Linked DNA regions of Arabidopsis thaliana. The protein of the gene in region 3 interacts with the protein of the main gene of each other region in a pairwise test. Each region holds a gene or a part of one and is shown on either strand. Other genes may lie near its edges. The genes, in order: AT5G50915, STO and AT2G17410.

Region 1 (5,675 bases), on a different chromosome or scaffold from region 3:
AAACGTGTCATCAGATATTTAGGGTTTGATTTTGATAGGTTTGATGATGCGAAGAATCGAAACGCACAGTTAAAGTTATAAGAGGTATACTTTGAAATAAACATATGAGGTGAAATGATGTGCATAAGATTTACGAAATGTGTTGTCCATTGATTCAGGATGAAACCGTTAGCAGATACAATTATGTGCCACGAGAAACTTAGCATTTCCTTTGTTATTGTATTTTATGATTGATCAATTTGCCGTATAATAACTTGGGACCAAATTCATATGCATTTTCGATTAAAAAAAAAAAAAAAAATCGTATTCATGACGAAACAATTGCAAGAAAATGATGACCCAATTCATCTAGCAACATATCATATTTATAATAATAAAAAAGGGAAAAAGTGAAAATTTTGAACCATAGTCCAATAACAAATCTTAGAAGAGATGATATCAATTAAATTTTACTTATTTAACTAAAATCTCAAATTGTTGAATTGTGAAGAGTAATCTCACAAATCATATACATCCTGACATATACATCAAGAAATGAAAATCATACAAAAAAATCTCTATTCTAGGTTCGTTAATAAAAGAGGTTATTAATATGTATGTAACTGAATAACGATAATATACATAAGGCTCTTGCATATAATTTATTTAGGTGTATTCAAATAAATCCTGCAATTTAGGATTGAATAACTCAAGGAATCGTTAATTACCACCTCATGAAAATGTTAGACAACCAACAAATCATATTTACAAATACAACAGTATCAAATATCTCTTTCAAGAATTTTGGTATATATATATTAGACATACTCTAAACTAAAATAAAACTTATAACATATGTATTGTGAAAGGACAGATACAGAGGAATGGGAGTTATCAATGTGTGACAAGTGAGAGCAGAAAAGCATGACCAAACTATTCAACAGGTACATTAAAGTGTTCTCAGGAAGGGAAATCTAATCTTTTCTTCTGACATAATTTTGTAGCCAACTAAATTGACAGGAAACGAATCATTTAGATTTATATACATGCATAAGTAGTTATCCCTCGAACATTTTTATATATATAGGAAATATAACATGAGTGTGTGGATAACAGTTTACATTTAAAAAGATTGGAGGAAAAAGGAAACTTTGGTGCAAGAAATCAGAAAGACAGAAGTGGTGAAAATACAAGAACTTATAAAATTAATGAGTGGATACATCAAAATTCAATTATATTAAAAAAAACAATGATTAAGCTGATAGGTCTTCTTAGTTTATATGTCTTTCTTTCCTCCATCGAATTTGCCTCTGCCTCATATACCATTCTCTTTTAGTATGAATTTATCCATTGATTTTATGTAATGATTATGTTGAAACTCTCGGGACAAATAGAGAAAATGAGCTTTTTAAGTCTCTAAAATACTTTATTTCTTCAAACTATATAAACGGAACAAATAAGTACATCCACTTTTACAAAACCTGGTTTACGTAGATTTTATTCCCTCCGTGCAAATGGGAGGAGATTAAATCAACCTACATCCAATAAACGATAGCAATAATTACGAACCCACATCAAGATTTTTAACAATTTCTATATGAGAAATGTTAAAAATAATTGTAATGATAATAATTAGGTAGTTGAAGAGACAAGACCAGAAGAAACTCACGAAAGCAGGCTTTTGTGTTTGTGTCGACATGTAATTTTATCAAGGGAAAGAACAGAAGTTGTTGTTGTTGAACCCACTTCTGTCTACAAAGTTCTCTCTTTCTTCTCCCTCTTCCTAAATTAAGCAACACATCACTATCTATTAATCTTCCAATAATTGATTCTTATCTATCTTCATTCTCCTTATTATAATTATTATCTGAAATAATCACTTATAGAAAAAAATGAAAAACCTGAACTTGTGCATGTGTGGGAACTACAGAATTATCCAATAGTGAAGGAAAGATAGGAGTAGTTGTTGGCATTGCATTGGTAAAAGACGTTCCTACTTCTGGAGAACCCATCTGTCCATCAAGAAAATATCTACTTAAGATCCATAACCGGCTTTTCGGGATACATGACTTGGTTTTATCGGTAACCGGATTAAGAGACATTGTGTAAATGAAATACCTCAGATTGAAGTATGAGGCCATCAAGGTCGGAGCCAAAGTCATAGACCACCGGACTTATAGAAGTTAGCTTCATTGAGAGAAACTAATGAAACAGAAAAAAAAGTTATGAATTAGAAACATTAGTTTTAACATAAAATGTTACAAGAAAAAACAAAATAATTAAGAAAATGCACCTCAACTTGAGTCTGCAAGGTCTGGACATAATTTATAATCTCATCCAACATGAGGGCCTTCCCTGTTACCTATTCGTTTTCAAGTCACATTTAATCAATTAATAACATTTTCTAGAAACATTATAAAATTAAACCATTATCAATTCTCCTAAATAAAATTGTCTCTACTCTAGCTGACCTTATCACAGCCCGGAACAAGGTTTTGCAGAGTCCTCATCCGCTCACTTATCTTTTCCCTTCTCACCTTTACATATATATATATATAAGTTTAATCAAATATTAATCAAAATGTATTTTATGAAAACATGATTAATGAAGAAAAATTAAAATGTTAAGAGAAATGACTAAAATACCCTCTCAGCAAGGCTGTGGCTATCAGTAGCTTGGCCTCTTCTAGCTCGAACGTGAATGTAATCTGTTGGAGGCTCTTCTTTGCTTCCTCTCTTCTGTTTTTTGCTTTTTCTTCCCTCTACTCCTTCCTAATTCACCAAACCACACCAACATTTATGTTTTTGACTATCCCAACCCCATCACATAAATGATAGATGATACATTACAAGTTGGTTTAACATACCTTGGAGTTATTACTGTTTCTGGCCTTCCTCCCACGGGTTTTTCCGGTGTTGGTGATGGCTGATGGTCCGTGGCTGAGCTGGTCGCAGGAAGAAGAACCGGTGGTTGCTGTTTTGGTTGTGTTGGCCAGTTTCTCTGAACCAGAGTTTTCAGTTTTGTCAACATTATATTCAAGAAAGGAAATGTCTTCAACTGTGGAAATGTTTGGTAGTGGATAGAGATGGTTTTGATCGATGAAACTAGTGAGATTAATGGAGGAGTGAGGTGTAGGGAAGAGAAGAGGATCAAGAAGGGAATGAGGGTAGTTTTGGAAATAAGAGAAAGTTGCCATTTTAAGAGTAGAAGCTTCTGAGTTCTCTTATCTTTGTCGATAGAGATAGTGTTTTTTCTTTGTGAGAGAAGATTAAGGACTTGAAGTGGTTTATATAAGGAATTGCTTTTGTATTCACTATTCAAAGAAACAAGGAGAAACAGAAGAAAGAGTATTTTAGGGACCACTTGTATATTGAAGATACCTTTTTATTTGAGAAGAAATTACTACCATATTTCGGCGGGTAATTTATGTTAGATGATATGTTTATATATAATATCGAGATTGTATATTTAAGTAATTGCATTGAGTAACCATGGAAGAGTAAAAATGAAAATTTAAGTAAATAATGTTGAATTTCAAAAATTAGGTGACTAATGATCTTTCATCATTCTTAGATACGTATGTTCTCTTTTTTTTTTTTTTTCAAATGCAAACTCATGGAATATTTGTCTATTTATTTTGTTTAGTTTTATTACTCTATGGGTATCATGATATTTTAGAAAATTTGTTTCAAATTACTTTATGTAAGAACTTATAATTTTAAATTTTGTTGTAATTTGTATTCTCCATAGTTTTATGTTATTTAGAGAATAAATTATGTTTTGAAATATAAGATTATAAATACTACATAATTTGTAATACAACCATGTTGTAAAACTAAACAAGACAAATACTGATCAATATATCATTTAATTAAGACTTTTTTTATAAGAATATAATAGCGCATAACGTGAAAACAATAAATGTACTATAAAAAGAAGTAATCAACTAAACCCATTAAATGAACGAAAGAACGACCAACGTGGGCAGTCGAACTCGAGGAAAATGTTCTCTAAAACCAATTGATGTATTTGTATTGACCATCAACTACACTCACGTAAGCATTCAATATTGTCGCCCTAACAACGAACTATATTTAGAAATGCCCTAAAGCTATGGCTTGTTTTACTTTATAAGAGGGTCGGACCTATAATACACATATCAAAAAAGTTAATGTACACCAAAAGAGCAATATTTATCATTTATCAATCAATTTTACTTTATCAGATTGCAGAACCTTTGCCACAGCTAATATATAGATCAATATATAGGCACAGTTTAACGAGTCAGATATAATTAAAGACTAGATAGTAGAGAGATATATTACCCTATCCAAAATACTGTACATTTAGAACTAAATATGTAATGCCGCGTGATCTTCTCAATAATAATCTCTATGTGGATACCATAATACTACAAACTTTTGTCCATTTTTGTTAGAGAAAATAAAAACTTTTGTCCATTTCCCACTTTGGATCGACATAGGAAATTTCCTTTTCAGAAAAGGACAAAAGAAAAAAAATTGTGAATAAGGTGTGAAGTCCAATCCCATGATACCGTTGGGTATGCATAGAAGACAAAAAATCATAAATCTCCATTTTGTTTTGATATAATCGGGTACTCTTATAGTAATAATCGAAAAAACGAGTACTTGACCATCAAAATTTATCACAATCCATGTCCTTAATTATTTAGACTATTATAATTCCTTTCTTCTATTTATAAATTATTATTATGACACGTACTTAACAAAAACATTAAGCGAATCTACGATTAATTAATTATCAATTGTATACGTACGAATACGATCTATGGACTTTCTATTATGATTTTCTTTTTGAGATCAAGTTTAGAGCAGAAAGAAAACATGCTAATTAGGAACCAAGAAAACATTATGATTGTTCTTTTGGACATAATTTACATGTCAAAGGTCCGCATGAGCTTGTAATTAATTATCATAACCCGAAGATGATAGAGATTATGCACGTTTCATCCGGATGAGGAATAAACATTTATTGGCATCATATTTTCTTCACCAATATCTCTCTTTTGCTTCTTTTCAAATCAGGGTACTTGCACAAAACCTTTATTCTTTATCTAACGCATTTAATTAGCGGCTGATCTATTATTTGTACTGTGTTTTGAATATTCAAGATCACATTTAAAGAAAAGAATAAGTGCACGAGACTAATTACGAAAGGATGATATGAAAATGAATCTTGAATTACGAGATAGATTAGGTACATTACTTCACTCTAAGAAATTGACTCAAAGTTTTCTTCTACCATCCTATATCCCAAAACATTACTTACAAATGCAAAGAAACAACTTCCATTTTACGGCGTTTTCTGGCCGATAAGTCTAGTGAATTATGTGACGATTGTAAGATATATGAAGTAAGTTAGGTTGATCTCATAACTGTTATAGATCTCTATTAATCACTTCGTTTATTTAGCTTAATCTCATTATATTTGTTATTCAAATATGTTGCATCTCTATATGTTTTCTTCTCTATTATCAAAACAGTTTTATGTCCTTCTACCATATTATTTCCATTTTGTTTAGTGAAGTATTGATTTTCTCTACTAAGAAGAATACAAATAAATCAACCTGGCAATAGACTAATTAACGTACGGTTACGTCTACGAAATAGATATTCATAGAAGTCTCTATCCGCATGATACGAGAGATAACCTT
Region 2 (4,965 bases), on a different chromosome or scaffold from region 3:
GATGGAGGTGGCGAAAGAAGCTGGAGCTCTTCTTTCCTACGATCCAAACCTCAGGGAACCTCTGTGGCCATCCCCTGAAGAAGCTAGGAAACAGATCATGAGTATCTGGGACAAGGCTGACATTATTAAGGTCAGTGACGTCGAGCTTGAGTTCTTGACAGGAAACAAAACGATTGATGATGAGACAGCTATGTCTCTGTGGCATCCTAATTTGAAGCTCTTGCTTGTTACACTTGGCGAAAATGGATGTCGTTACTACACTAAGGTAATGTACAACAAACATTCATGTGGATTCATCATCATCATGATGATCTTGGTGTGTGATTTTGATTGATGTTCTCTTGACTCTTGTGTAGGATTTCCATGGATCTGTTGAAACTTTCCATGTTGACGCTGTGGATACTACTGGAGCTGGTGATTCTTTTGTTGGCGCGCTTCTAAACCAGATTGTTGATGATCAATCTGTACTCGAGGTTAACTCCCATTGATATTGTGTGTCTATTCAATCAACTGAATATTGTTGATGATATTTACTGATTTTTCTCGTTTCTTAGGAGGAAGAGAGATTGAGAAAAGTGCTGAGATTTGCAAACGCTTGTGGAGCAATCACGACGACTAAAAAGGGAGCCATTCCAGCTCTTCCTACAGATTGTGAAGCTCTCAGTTTTCTTAAGATACAAGTAGAATAGTAAAACTTCTCTTCGAGTCCAGAATTCTCCTTGTCTATTGTAATAATCTGTTCTGGATTCTTCCTGATGATTCTGATCATTTGTAATGTTTTTTTTTTTTGGTTCTCTCTCTGTCTTTTCTTTTTCTTCTTCATTGTATTGAATAAAACAGACTTGTGACTTCTGAGCTTTTCTTGCTAATAGAAAACAAAGAGTTTTTCGTAGTTGTTTGGAACCGTAAATTGCATTGAGGATTGTTTCTCAAGGCTTTGAAAACAGAGTAATAATCAGGAACAAACAAAAAAAAACCAAGAAAGAACAGAGAGAACACATTTAGTATCAAGTTTGTAGCATCAAAGCATTAAGCATAGACCATGTTCAAGAGGTATGAACAAAACTCAAACACAGACATTTGTTATAAGCTCTCAACATATCTTACACAACTTAAGACAAAACTAAAATGTATATGACATTAACTCCACACATGCAGATAGGTTTCTTGTTTGTTCTTTTACATTGAAGAATGTCTACACATAGATTACATATAGCTTTTTAGCCAAGATCAGGGACAATGAAGTGTTCCTCATCATCATCATCATATCTGGTCTCAAACCTCGGCTTCTTGTGTGAAACATTTGACTTCATAGGTTTGTATGAATGAACATGACCTAAATGCGAAACAGAAAGCTCAGGAACTTCAGCTGCAGGAAGAGCCTTGTCATTAATCTGATCACCGAAGAATCCCATGTCTGAAAACCAATCCAACTCCCCTGCCCCAAGATCAAGCTGTCCTTTCTGCTCAATTTAAACCAAGAAGTCAATAAAAGCTTCTTGCAAAGAAAGTGATCTAACATTGAATCTCAATTCTCATCACTACCTTGTCGGTGGATTCAATATCAGAGAAGTGAAAGAAATCGTCAACAGCCCAGGGAAGTGGAGTAGCAGAAGAAGGTTGTTGTTGCTGCTGGCTTGTGGATTTAGCAGGAATCTGATTAGCCTTCTGTTGGTTGTTGGAAGGCTCAGGTTGATTCTTCTCAATTTCTTTACTACATATAGTTGAGGTCAGAGCTACTTTGATCCCAGTGGCTAAGAACCTCTGGTGATTAGCAGATCGAGAATTAGCCACGTGGATGGATTCATCGCAGTCCCTGCAAAGCAGAGCTCTATCCTCTACACAGAAAATGAAAGCTGCCTTCTCCTACAAGTCATAAGAACATAATGAGCAAACCCTAGTCTTAAACAACAAGGCATACATACAACAGTTGCTACAAGATCTATAAAATCACAACTTTGCAACAGAGCAGATTCAAACTAACGAATCCATAAAATATTTGACAAGATCTAATGAGATCTGTAGAGAAACTTACTTGGCAGATATCGCAACGAGGGAATTTGGTGGAGAGGGAATTAAGATGAAGACGTTGGTGCTTGCTAGCGAGTTTGTTAGCGGCGTGAATCTCGATGTCGCATTGAGGACAGAGAGCAGCTTCGTCGGCGCAACAAATCACCGTCGCCGGAGCTTTCTCACACACATCACACTGTATCTTCATCACCGGATACAAGAAACCAAAATATCTAGGTTTCTCAAGAAGGAAACAGAATGCTTAAAATGAAGGGTTTATTGCTAGTCTGGCTTCTCTTAGAATAGCTTAGCAGAAGCGTAGGTTCAGAGAAAGAGCTTAGAGAAGATGAAAGAACAAAGAGGGAGAGAGTGTTTTGTGGGGAACAAGTAGGTGGGATGAGCAATTGGTTGTGAGTGAAAGAGAGAAGATAAGGATTTGATGAATCTTGCTTGTTGCTTTGTTTTCATTATTCTGCGTATCAAAAGGAAACACTCTGCTTCTTACAGCAAGGTCTTGCGGGTCCCACTCTTTTTCTGTGGCTCTCCTTCTTCCTCTCGTCATCTCTCCTACCTTTAGATATTTTTATTATATTCACACTTTGCTATTTTATATTCTTGTTATTTTCTCACGTAGTAGAGATTTGTGTTTTGTTTACTAATCTAGTCAAAACACATTAATTTTGACTAATAAACTAACTTCAATAATTCCACCACCACTAGACTTTTACGCTCCTTTTATATGATATGCTCGAATTTCAAGTCTCGTGAACTTTTACGATTTCAAGAAAGATTTGTATACAAAAATGGGCTTCATCTAGAAAGAAAGAGTTGGGTAATGGTATTACTCAAATCAGAGAATATTACACGACTACACGTAATCTTGAAAATGACATGTGAATTGATTCCTTGGAATGACGACATGTTATGTTAATATGTACCATTCGATCAGATTTTTCTTCTTCTTTCACTTTTTCGTTTTCTCAATCATAAAAACGATTAATGCAATCATTAAAAATATACTGGCATGTTAACTAACAAAGAAATGAATGCTTAGCCCGTTCGAGAAAAAGAATGATCCTAAAAGACACCAATACAAAATTAGGCATGGTTGGTCACAAGAATTGTTGTTGGATATCACATATCCATCCATATTAGTAAAAACCAATCTATACATCTGTGGTTTTTTTAAAGAATTGACAAGTTTTTGTTTCTGTTTTTTGGTAATGAAATCGAACAAATTCAAAGAATTGTGAAGTTAATAACTCCCAAAACACTTACTGCTTCTGTACATGTTCATCCTTCTGGATGTCCCCATGAGAAGTATTGTTCATGTTGGCCGTATCTTGATTAAGCAGATTAGAGAATCCATTTCCAATCGATTTCCACCAGCTCGACCGCTCTGAGGTAGTTTGATCCCACTGGTCATTACTGGTGCTTGAGGACAGTTCGATAGATGTGGCTGACTCGGTCTGCAGCTCAGAGAATCTCACAGCTCCTAGTAGCTTTTCTGGAAGCTCTGCTTCGGTCTGACTCTCAATGAGGAACGCAAGATCAACTGTCAATGTAGTAACGTAGCCAAATGCGAGATGAACAATGGCACTAGCGACCATTGAAGAACCAATATCGACATCAATCTCCACAAAGTTTTCCCCTGAAACATATTTGCAAGAGAGTGCACGTCCAATCACACAGATCGCTTGCTCTCCAACAGCTTTTCTAACAATCCAAGGGCCTTTGACAATGTTTGCAATCAGTTTAAGCCTCGATTTCTTGAACCCATCATCTCCTTTCAAAAACCGATCCATCAGGGAGCCTTCAAGGATAGGCTCTGTGGTAACAAAGTAAGCCACAGCACTGTAATTGTCTTTGTGAGGAAGCTGGAGATTGAATGCCCAGACAAAAGGCTTAGTTCCATCTTTTTGAAACTCCTCATCGATAACTTTCCTGATTCGGCTGCTTGGATAACTCAGGATCTCAGAAAGCTTTTTAGGACCTTTAATCCAATCAAAACCCAGAGGCTTTAGAAGGAAATCACCAGCAGGTATCTTAACTTTGTCAGAGAAATACTTTGGTCCTCTAACCATAAATGTGTCAGGAGATGGCGTCGTCCAACCATTTTTGCAGTTGTCGTCTGGCTTAAGACATGGAACAGCTCCCTCTAATTTCACTCTCTTAATCCATTCTGGCTCAGTTTCCTCACCAACAGAGCCAGCCATATCTTGCGAAAACCTGCAACACAGAGCTTAAATCCTTGAGTAAAACTGAGTGTGGAAAACAATCTCATGGATTCTACTTAGTGAATATAGCAAACAAGAATATGCCATCAAGAAGACCAAAACATGTGATCAGAAAACAGAACCATGTATGTCTGAGGCTCTATCTATTCCTCATCTAATTTCCCATAGGATTCATACTATGCCACAAGAACTTTTTAAAAGAAAAGAGTGAAACAAAAATTGCTCAAAGAAACAAAAACTAGGAGCTGGTAACTCCGGTTCAAGTCATAGCTACACCGGAAACTAGAATAAAGTTAGTAAATTGACTCAAATTCTGAGTAATGACATCAAAATTCAGCATACACGATTCTGAGATTTTCTACAAACCTAAGCCCTAGATTATCTGAAATAACATGCATACCATTCAATAGACAAAGCACAGAGACAGAGCCCAGATAATTGAATTTTACATTCATCTACAACACATAAGAAGAAACGGAAAAAAAAACGTTTTTTTTTATCAACAGAGCAATCAAAACCCAGAAACGATTAACAAGTTTCAGAGGTTCAAGAGGAATCAGCTACAATAATAAAAAGGAAAAAATCAAAGTTGAGAGATACAAATAACAAAAGACTAATTCAATCGCAGGACAAGGAGCAAACAATAAACCTTTTGCAGCCGAAGAAGAGAAGAATTGTCCAAAAACCCTAATTCAAAAACGAAGACTTGTCAAGGGAA
Region 3 (8,194 bases):
AATCTCTGTTTGGTGTTTAGGATCCACAAATGTCTCCCTTTTTGGAGGCTCTTGGTAACCCTGCAGCATCAGAGCAGTTTGCAGAGCGTATGGCGCAAATGAAAGAAGATCCTGAATTGAAACCTATACTAGCTGAGATTGATGCTGGTGGTCCTTCTGCTATGATGAAGTAAGCATGCCATTATTTGCTATAAATTATTAGGTTTACTTGTGTTCATGGCTAATAGTTGATTACTGGTGTTAGGTACTGGAATGATAAAGATGTGTTGGCAAAGCTGGGTGAAGCAATGGGTATAGCTGTTGGAGCAGACCAGACTGTTGCAGCTGAACCTGAAGAGGCCGAAGAAGGGGAAGAGGAAGAGTCTATTGTTCACCAGACCGCTAGTCTTGGTGATGTCGAGGTAAACTGATTCATACACTGTTAGTCTCTCGTGTTTCTGACGGTCTATATTTTATACTTAAGTCGGAATCATTGATCGAGGTTAGCTCATAAACTCTCTGTGCATTGATTTCCTGAACCAACCAGGGTTTGAAAGCTGCCTTGGCATCTGGTGGGAACAAAGATGAAGAAGACTCTGAAGGAAGGACTGCTTTGCATTTTGCATGTGGATACGGCGAGGTATGTCAACGTCTCAACAAGCCTTAACAAAAAAAACTGTCGAAATGTCACTATCACAGAATCATGGAAGGCAGTATATACTACCAATATTTACTAGCATCATGCACTTGATGGATAAGCAGCTTCGGTTTCACTTAGTAGATTATTACACAATTATCTGTAGCATTCTTTACAAAGGAAATTGACAGTTGCCATTATTACATCTGCAATTAGAAGTTGTTATAAAAGCTTAATCCGAAGTTTGAACCCAGCTGACCTAGGTTGAGTTTGTATGTAGGTGAGATGTGCTCAGGTTCTTCTGGATGCTGGAGCAAATGCAAATGCGATTGACAAAAACAAGAACACACCATTGCACTATGCTGCTGGTTATGGAAGGAAAGAGTGTGTAAGCCTCCTCCTAGAGAATGGTGCTGCAGTGTAAGTTTGCAACAACAAGAACACAAATTCGATTTCCAAACAACTTAGTAATGGTTATATAAGACTCTTTTAAGTGTCGTTTCATTTTCTGTTTGCAGAACTCAGCAAAACATGGACAATAAAAATCCCATTGATGTGGCCAGGCTAAACAATCAGCTAGATGTGGTGAAACTACTTGAGAAGGACGCTTTCCTCTGAGCTGCTTTGACTCTTGAAGGATATGTTTCTTCTCTGTCATGTAATAGTGTCACAGAGTCTGATTGCAACCTTGTCTTCTGTGGGGGTTTTCATCATTAAATCTGGAAAAAAAAGATGGAGAAAATGGATGTTTATTATGGTTTTGTAATGAATTATTTTCTTCTTGAATTGGTTTTTTCTTTTGGCTCTTAAAGTCTTTTTTGTCCTTCTTTGTGTGCCACAGGGCTTTAGTGTTGCAATCACAAAGAAAAAACCCTTAAACTGTTATATTCGAGAAGGAATAGACTGTTTAATCAAATCGGTGATAAGATAATTTGGAGATTTTTAACATGCCAACCGTAAATTAGAATGAAGAGTAGAAAGCCCATAGAGGATAACGATACTAATAGATGAGATTTGTACATAAGTAATGTGCAGAATGGAAGTCGATAGAATGAAATGCAAAAGTGAACTCAAGAACAGCAAAGATGATAAAACTTGGACCTCAAATCATCTTTGGCTCTTTGCTGTTTCTTTTGTTTTCTCTCTTGAAAGTATTATTGAAAAAACAGTAAAAAAAAACTCAAAATTGAGGTTACTTCAATTTAACAATAGTAAAATCATCAACACAATTTTTTTTTTTAAAGACATCTTAATTTTCTAAAATGGATATACAAAATCATATCTTGCACCTCGGAATTTGGTCCACCTTAGACGTTTTTAGTGGCAAAAATTCCCGGATTTATGTGGATTCCAATATTAGTCTAGGTTTCGGCATAGAATTCTCCTGGTTAATTAAAAATATGTATACAATGTTATAATTTAATCAAACCAACAAAATAAAAAGAGTTTGTAAAAATTTCAAAATAGTTCTTTCAAATAAATTCTGAACAGTCTTTTAAATTTATTTTTAGTGTTTAGTGTGTCATATGTCATATGTATACAAAAACTTAATTTAAAATTTGTTATTTTGAGTGAGAGTTTTAACTGTAAAACTAAATATACGATTTTACAAAAAGTAATATAAATAAATTAAGCATTATTTGGAAAATAATGTAAAGCTGATAATTATATTCCTAATTTTAAATCCATATTGTTTCCTTAAAGAATATTTCAATATAATTGCAAAAAGAAAAGAAAGGAAATATATCTTCCGACAATATTATCTGATGCGCGTGAAATAGACTATCAGGCCAAGATTAGGTCAAAAAGCCCGTGAGCCCAAAAACCTGAGAAAACCCGGTTCAAATTGCAAACCCTCGATTTCATTTCTCCAATTCGATAGACGCTGGGTAAAAAAATTCGGAGGACGACGAAAGAGAAAACGAGTGTTTCAGTCACTGCCCCACGGAGCTCTCGGAAATTTGTCTTCCCCTTGTCGTCGTCTCCCTATCTACTGCTTCTTCTTCGTTTTCGTCTTCTTTATCAAGGTGCGCTTTAGCTTCTCAACGCCGTTTGATTTTTAGAATTTCGATTTTTTTTTTTTTTTCTTCTAGTTCTTGAATCAATCCGGAATTTGGCGACTATGTTGCTTCGTTTGTAAATCGTATTCTCCTGTTTAGAAATCTTCAATTGACTGTGTTATAGGAACAATTTAAATCTCAATTTCAATGTCTCTTTTAGTCACCTTCGTGTAGTAATTTGCTTTTGAATTACTGTTAATGAATCTCAAAAAATGGATTTTATAATTTGGGAAAAGGGGCTTCTGGGTTTAATTAAAGAACACGAGATAAGGTCTGGTTTTTTCTTTTCATTTCTTTGTGTGTGTTTTTGGTTTCTTTGATTTTCTTCTGGGTTATGGTCCGTTTGAGTCTGGTGATAGTTAGTTGGCAACCAATTTTTATTGATCTATTACAATCGAGAACACAAAACTAAACCCTAAGAAAGAAGTACATAAAGTTGTTGAAAAGATCTCGTTAACTCTCCCAAAGTCCTAGGGCTTTCACACAACCAGTGATTAAATAACCTTTGAGCTGTTCTCCTTCCCACACTTTATATGTGTGTTTGTGGTTTGTCTAATTTGTGAGGAGCTTCTATGAAACCTCTGGTTATTTTAATTGTTTTCTGCAATTCCTGATTGATATGTTTATATATATTTCTTGTATTTGTGAATTTGTGTAGGAATGCTGTTTAATTGGAATCAACAATGGAGAATTTGACGGAAATAGAATCAACGATGGAGAGTTTAACGGAAATGGAGAGTGAGAGAGTTGAACAGGGTACCGATAAGGAAATTGGAAGTGGAGAGAAAAGGCAGGATGATGTAAAGGAAACGGAGAATGAGAATTCTGGAGAGAGAGTAGGAGAGGAAGCTCCTGTCAGGGAACATGAAGATTCTCCATGTCTCATTGTTATTGAAGAAGGTACTTCCCTAGCTTCCCTTGAGGAGGTGACCAATGCTGATGATCTGCCGAAGATTGATGATGAGAAGAATTCCCAATTTGAAACAAGCCCGCATCCAAGTCCTTCTCCTTCAGTAGCTTTAGACACTGAAGAAGGGTTAATCAACCCTACTGCAGAAGACACTGTAGAAGAGAACATAGTGTCTAGCGAAGTAAGTTCGGATATCTTGAAAGATGACGGAGATGCCGTCGAGGTTGACAGAGATACTGCAGAAGTCCAGGAAGAAACGGCCAACATACCTGAATCCAAACTCTCGGAGGACACAGGATCACCTCATCATCATGCTGATATTCTGATGGTGCAGGAAAAAGCTGCAGAAGAACATGACATGATAGCCTCTGGAGACCATGAAGAATTTCCAGTCAATCCTGATAACAAACACTCTGAAGAAAATCAGTCACCACATCATCATGCTAATAATGTGATGGAGCAGGACCAAGCTGCAGAAGAACGTGAGATCATATCCCCAGGAGAACATAAGGAAATTCCAGCCAATCCTGATACTAAAGTTGTTGAGGAGAACAATGACAGGATAGATGAGGGTGAGGCTAACAATTTGAATTTGGCTGGCGATGGAAGTGGAGCAGTCGATCATGATTACTTGACCAAAACGGAGCTGGACAAAGTGCTAGAGGTGCCTGGTTCTGAGACCATATCAAAACTGGAGGATAGGCCATCTGAGCATCTCTCAGAAACCTCAATGAACGTGGAAAAAGAACTAGAAATGCCTGCCGTTGAAATTTTGCCAGACAATGACAAAAACTCTGATGTGTTGGCAGTTGGAGTTTCTGGAGACAGTGACAATGTGGTATCTGTCTTGCCCGCTTCCCAAACTTCCTCTGATCGTGATGAAGGAATGATTACAGTTGATGCTGAACCTACGGAAGACATGAAACTTGATGTTCCAGATTCTAAATTGGTTACTGATACTACTGTTGACTCTACTAATAACAAGGATGCCCATGTTGAGGCTAATACTGAAAGGCAAGATAATTCTAGTGCACTTGTGCTAAATGATGCAAATAATGAAAGTGCACCAGTGAAACGTGTACCTGGTCCTTATGTTGCATCTTCCAATATAAAGTCTGAAGCGCGGGGTAGTGGAGATTTGAACAATGGAGTACATAAAATAGTTCGGACCCCACCTGTCTTTGATGGGACCATGCGCGCAAAGCGCTCTTTCCTCTTGGATGATGCGTCTGATGGTAATGAATCTGGAACGGAAGAGGATCAATCTGCTTTTATGAAAGAATTGGATAGTTTTTTTAGAGAGCGAAACATGGATTTCAAACCTCCAAAATTTTACGGGGAGGGACTGAACTGCCTCAAGTAAGCTTGATACCCATCATTATTTGGTCACTTTACTGTGTTACATTTTAAAATTTTCAGCAGGAGCTGATATCTAATCAATTTCTTTGGCACAAGGTTGTGGAGAGCTGTAACTAGATTGGGCGGATATGACAAGGTACGGGTCACTGTGAATACGCCTGTTGAATGTCACAGCATCTTTTTTGACAAGCAAATGTGACTTCGGCTTTTCATCTTTTGTTCCATCCTGGCTTACTTGCATGCGTACTGTTGTTCATGATCTAGCAGTGGTGCTTTTGGTGATTTTCTATGATTATTATATGCTTTTTATACTGGATAGGTTACTGGAAGCAAATTATGGCGGCAAGTGGGAGAGTCTTTCAGGCCCCCAAAGTAAGAAGAATGCTTTTCTTATTAGTGGTTTGTCTTAGAAATTTTGGGAAATCATGTGGATATTTTTAAGAATTACCCTCTAATTGGTCAATTGTTTGTTCAGGACATGTACAACAGTATCATGGACTTTCCGAGGTTTCTACGAAAAGGTGAGACTATATTCACCACCTTTTCCTCTCTCTGCTTTTGGTTCGTCTATGTGACTTTTGTATACACTGGCATGGGACTGGGACTCTATGTATCAACCCTTCTGAGAAATAATTGAAATGATTGAACAGTGAACAACTGTGAATCATCTTGAGATATGTTTTCCTTAAGATACAGTAACATCTTGTAACATTATAGTTTCTTCATTTTTCAGGCTCTTCTTGAATATGAGCGGCATAAAGTTAGTGAAGGTGAACTTCAGATACCCCTTCCGTTGGAACTAGAACCGATGAATATTGATAATCAGGTAAAATTGAGAAAACCATATCATGTGTCTGTAGTTTTTGTTTGATCTTCTTCTTCTGATTAATGTCAGTGTTTTAACTTAACCCACTGCCTTGTTTCTACACTAGGCGTCTGGATCAGGGAGAGCAAGGAGAGATGCAGCATCACGTGCTATGCAAGGTTGGCATTCACAGCGTCTTAATGGTAACGGTGAAGTTAGTGACCCTGCAATCAAGGTCCGGTAGAATCTTTTTATATGTTTCATTTTACATTCACACTAGATCTCTCGTTTTTTTTTTGTCAAACATTTAATCTATATCTCATAGTCTGAACGAACATACTGTTTTGTAATTAATAGGATAAGAACTTAGTTCTTCATCAAAAGCGCGAAAAACAGATTGGAACCACCCCTGGTATGAGTTCTGTTTGATGAAGAAGTGTTGTTCTCATTTTTATTTTGAAACTTTGACATGGGTTATCACTTACATCTCACAATGTCATCAGGTTTGCTCAAACGTAAGAGGGCTGCTGAACATGGTGCAAAAAATGCCATCCATGTATCTAAATCTATGTACGATTTTTGGCTTTGTGGTCTGGTTTTCAATGCGTGATAATTCACATTTGAATTCTGATTCCAGTTGTTGTTTTTCCTAGGTTGGATGTGACTGTTGTTGATGTTGGACCACCAGCTGACTGGGTGAAGATTAACGTACAGAGAACGGTAAAATCAATTGCCACTTTCTTAAAAACCTGAGCAATCACTTTCTGGTTTTACATATATTAATAAACTCTTCCACTATCTGCAGCAAGATTGCTTTGAGGTGTATGCATTAGTCCCAGGATTAGTCCGTGAAGAGGTAAGCTCTCAAATCTCGTTGTGTTTACATATGGATCCTAAGATTGAGTTTAGCACTCAGTTTTTGTCTTGGCAACAATAATACAGGTCCGAGTCCAATCAGATCCGGCTGGGCGGTTAGTAATAAGTGGCGAACCCGAGAACCCTATGAATCCTTGGGGAGCTACTCCTTTCAAAAAGGTAAATGCTGGTTACATGATTTTTCAGCTTACACGTAGAATGTTGAATGACATTTTCAAACCTCCATTGAAACTGCAGGTGGTAAGTTTACCAACGAGAATCGATCCGCATCACACATCGGCTGTGGTAACCCTAAACGGGCAGTTATTTGTTCGTGTGCCTCTGGAGCAATTGGAGTAGAAACATTTACAGTTTAACAAAGCCTTTGAAGATCTGAAAGAGAGAAGATTGTTAGAAGTAGTTGTTGAGAGTATTTTGTTTGTATATTATGAGAGATTAAGCACAACATGAGAAGAGCCTTTAGGAATCCTTAATTAGGCCATCTAGTTTTTATTGTCTCTCCTCTCTTTGATTAGATTCTTCTTCTAAGTGTCATCACTATTGATTTGTTGTAGCACCAAACTTCTTTAAACCTTTCTATTAAGAACACACAAATCTACAACCTTTTTATTTTTTTTAATTGTTTATGTGATTTGTTTTCTGTGGCAGTGAATTTTTTATATTATCAACTTATCATGTTAGCTCAAGATTGCATCTCAATTTGTACTTATCTTAGTGGTAATTAGAAAAAAAAACAAAATTAGGCTACAATAGTTTTGTTTGTTTGTTTGTTTAGGTGTTAGGGATAGGGTTTATTTTTTCCGAAGTTTATTAGTGTTTACTATTTAGAGTTTAATGTTTCCAAAATTTTATGGTTTAATTTATACTCTCAGATTAGGTTAAACATTTTTATTTTTAAAAATCTATAATATTTTTCTAATTTTACTTTAAATTGTAGACTAAATAATTGATTCAGCCTTATATTATATCTTAAACTTTGCAAGAATCACTTTGGCTTGTAATGAAATGAAATCCACTGTTTTCATATTCAAAGTGATTCTAGTCTTGTATTAACTATTAAATATTCCAATCTTTAACAACAAAGAAAACTATAATATTCAAAGCCATGTATATAATAATGGACATGGTCCAATAATTTGGCAATTTAAAAAAATATTAAAGAGAAAAGTAGATTCAAATAAAGTGGTCTATATTTCAAATTGCAAAATGTGTTGGATCTCAATGAGCCAGTCAAGATTCATTATAAAGTCTTTATTTAGCACAGCAGGAGGTTTCTTACTTGGATCTGCTCTCTCAAATCCGCCGTCTCTAGCCACCGCGTTTTCTTCTTCTTCCTCGTCCTCCTCCGCCGCCGCCGCCGTCGACATGGAAACTCACAAAACCAAGGTTTGCATCGTCGGAAGTGGACCAGCAGCACACACGGCGGCGATCTATGCATCGAGAGCGGAGCTTAAGCCTCTTCTCTTCGAAGGATGGATGGCTAACGACATCGCTCCCGGCGGTCAATTAACTACAACAACCGACGTCGAAAACTTCCCTGGGTTCCCTGAAGGTATTCTCGGTATTGA

Evidence for each region.
Region 1: the proteins of AT2G17410 (region 3) and AT5G50915 interact in a two-hybrid assay, tested with the Arabidopsis thaliana proteins (one large-scale study listed by BioGRID).
Region 2: the proteins of AT2G17410 (region 3) and STO interact in a two-hybrid assay, tested with the Arabidopsis thaliana proteins (one large-scale study listed by BioGRID).

What each region holds. Positions count from the first base shown.
Region 1 is NC_003076.8:20,709,077-20,714,751, forward strand, and holds AT5G50915 (basic helix-loop-helix (bHLH) DNA-binding superfamily protein), read right to left. Parts: upstream 3,389-5,675; 5' UTR 3,177-3,388; coding exon 2,847-3,176; intron 2,752-2,846; coding exon 2,626-2,751; intron 2,517-2,625; coding exon 2,451-2,516; intron 2,342-2,450; coding exon 2,273-2,341; intron 2,182-2,272; coding exon 2,098-2,181; intron 1,992-2,097; coding exon 1,881-1,991; coding exon of another isoform or gene 1,860-1,880; exon of another isoform or gene 1,763-1,859; coding exon 1,688-1,762; 3' UTR 1,649-1,687; exon of another isoform or gene 1,515-1,648; 3' UTR 1,027-1,514; downstream 1-1,026. Other genes in the region: AT5G50910 (uncharacterized protein), read right to left, coding at 1-206.
Region 2 is NC_003070.9:1,827,442-1,832,406, forward strand, and holds STO (B-box zinc finger family protein), read right to left. Parts: upstream 2,543-4,965; 5' UTR 2,425-2,542; coding exon of another isoform or gene 2,325-2,424; 5' UTR 2,248-2,324; coding exon of another isoform or gene 2,219-2,247; coding exon 2,036-2,218; intron 1,867-2,035; coding exon 1,546-1,866; coding exon of another isoform or gene 1,516-1,545; exon of another isoform or gene 1,464-1,515; coding exon 1,221-1,463; 3' UTR 899-1,220; downstream 1-898. Other genes in the region: AT1G06030 (pfkB-like carbohydrate kinase family protein), read left to right, coding at 1-265, 357-473, 555-689; AT1G06045 (uncharacterized protein), read left to right, coding at 2,081-2,247, 2,325-2,424; AT1G06050 (ENHANCED DISEASE RESISTANCE-like protein (DUF1336)), read right to left, coding at 3,285-4,226. UniProt on the Arabidopsis thaliana protein: Acts as a negative regulator of seedling photomorphogenesis and light-regulated inhibition of hypocotyl elongation. BBX24/STO and BBX25/STH function as transcriptional corepressors of HY5 activity, leading to the down-regulation of BBX22 expression.
Region 3 is NC_003071.7:7,556,510-7,564,703, forward strand, and holds AT2G17410 (ARID/BRIGHT DNA-binding domain-containing protein), read left to right. Parts: upstream 1-2,406; 5' UTR 2,407-2,643; intron 2,644-2,705; exon of another isoform or gene 2,706-2,947; intron 2,948-3,334; 5' UTR 3,335-3,359; coding exon 3,360-4,945; intron 4,946-5,041; coding exon 5,042-5,081; intron 5,082-5,264; coding exon 5,265-5,317; intron 5,318-5,420; coding exon 5,421-5,466; intron 5,467-5,678; coding exon 5,679-5,771; intron 5,772-5,877; coding exon 5,878-5,985; intron 5,986-6,107; coding exon 6,108-6,162; intron 6,163-6,253; coding exon 6,254-6,320; intron 6,321-6,387; coding exon of another isoform or gene 6,388-6,403; coding exon 6,404-6,470; intron 6,471-6,555; coding exon 6,556-6,606; intron 6,607-6,692; coding exon 6,693-6,785; intron 6,786-6,863; coding exon 6,864-6,965; 3' UTR 6,966-7,243; downstream 7,244-8,194. Other genes in the region: AKR2B (ankyrin repeat-containing 2B), read left to right, coding at 21-169, 245-401, 527-619, 897-1,036, 1,135-1,234; NTRA (NADPH-dependent thioredoxin reductase A), read left to right, coding at 7,833-8,194.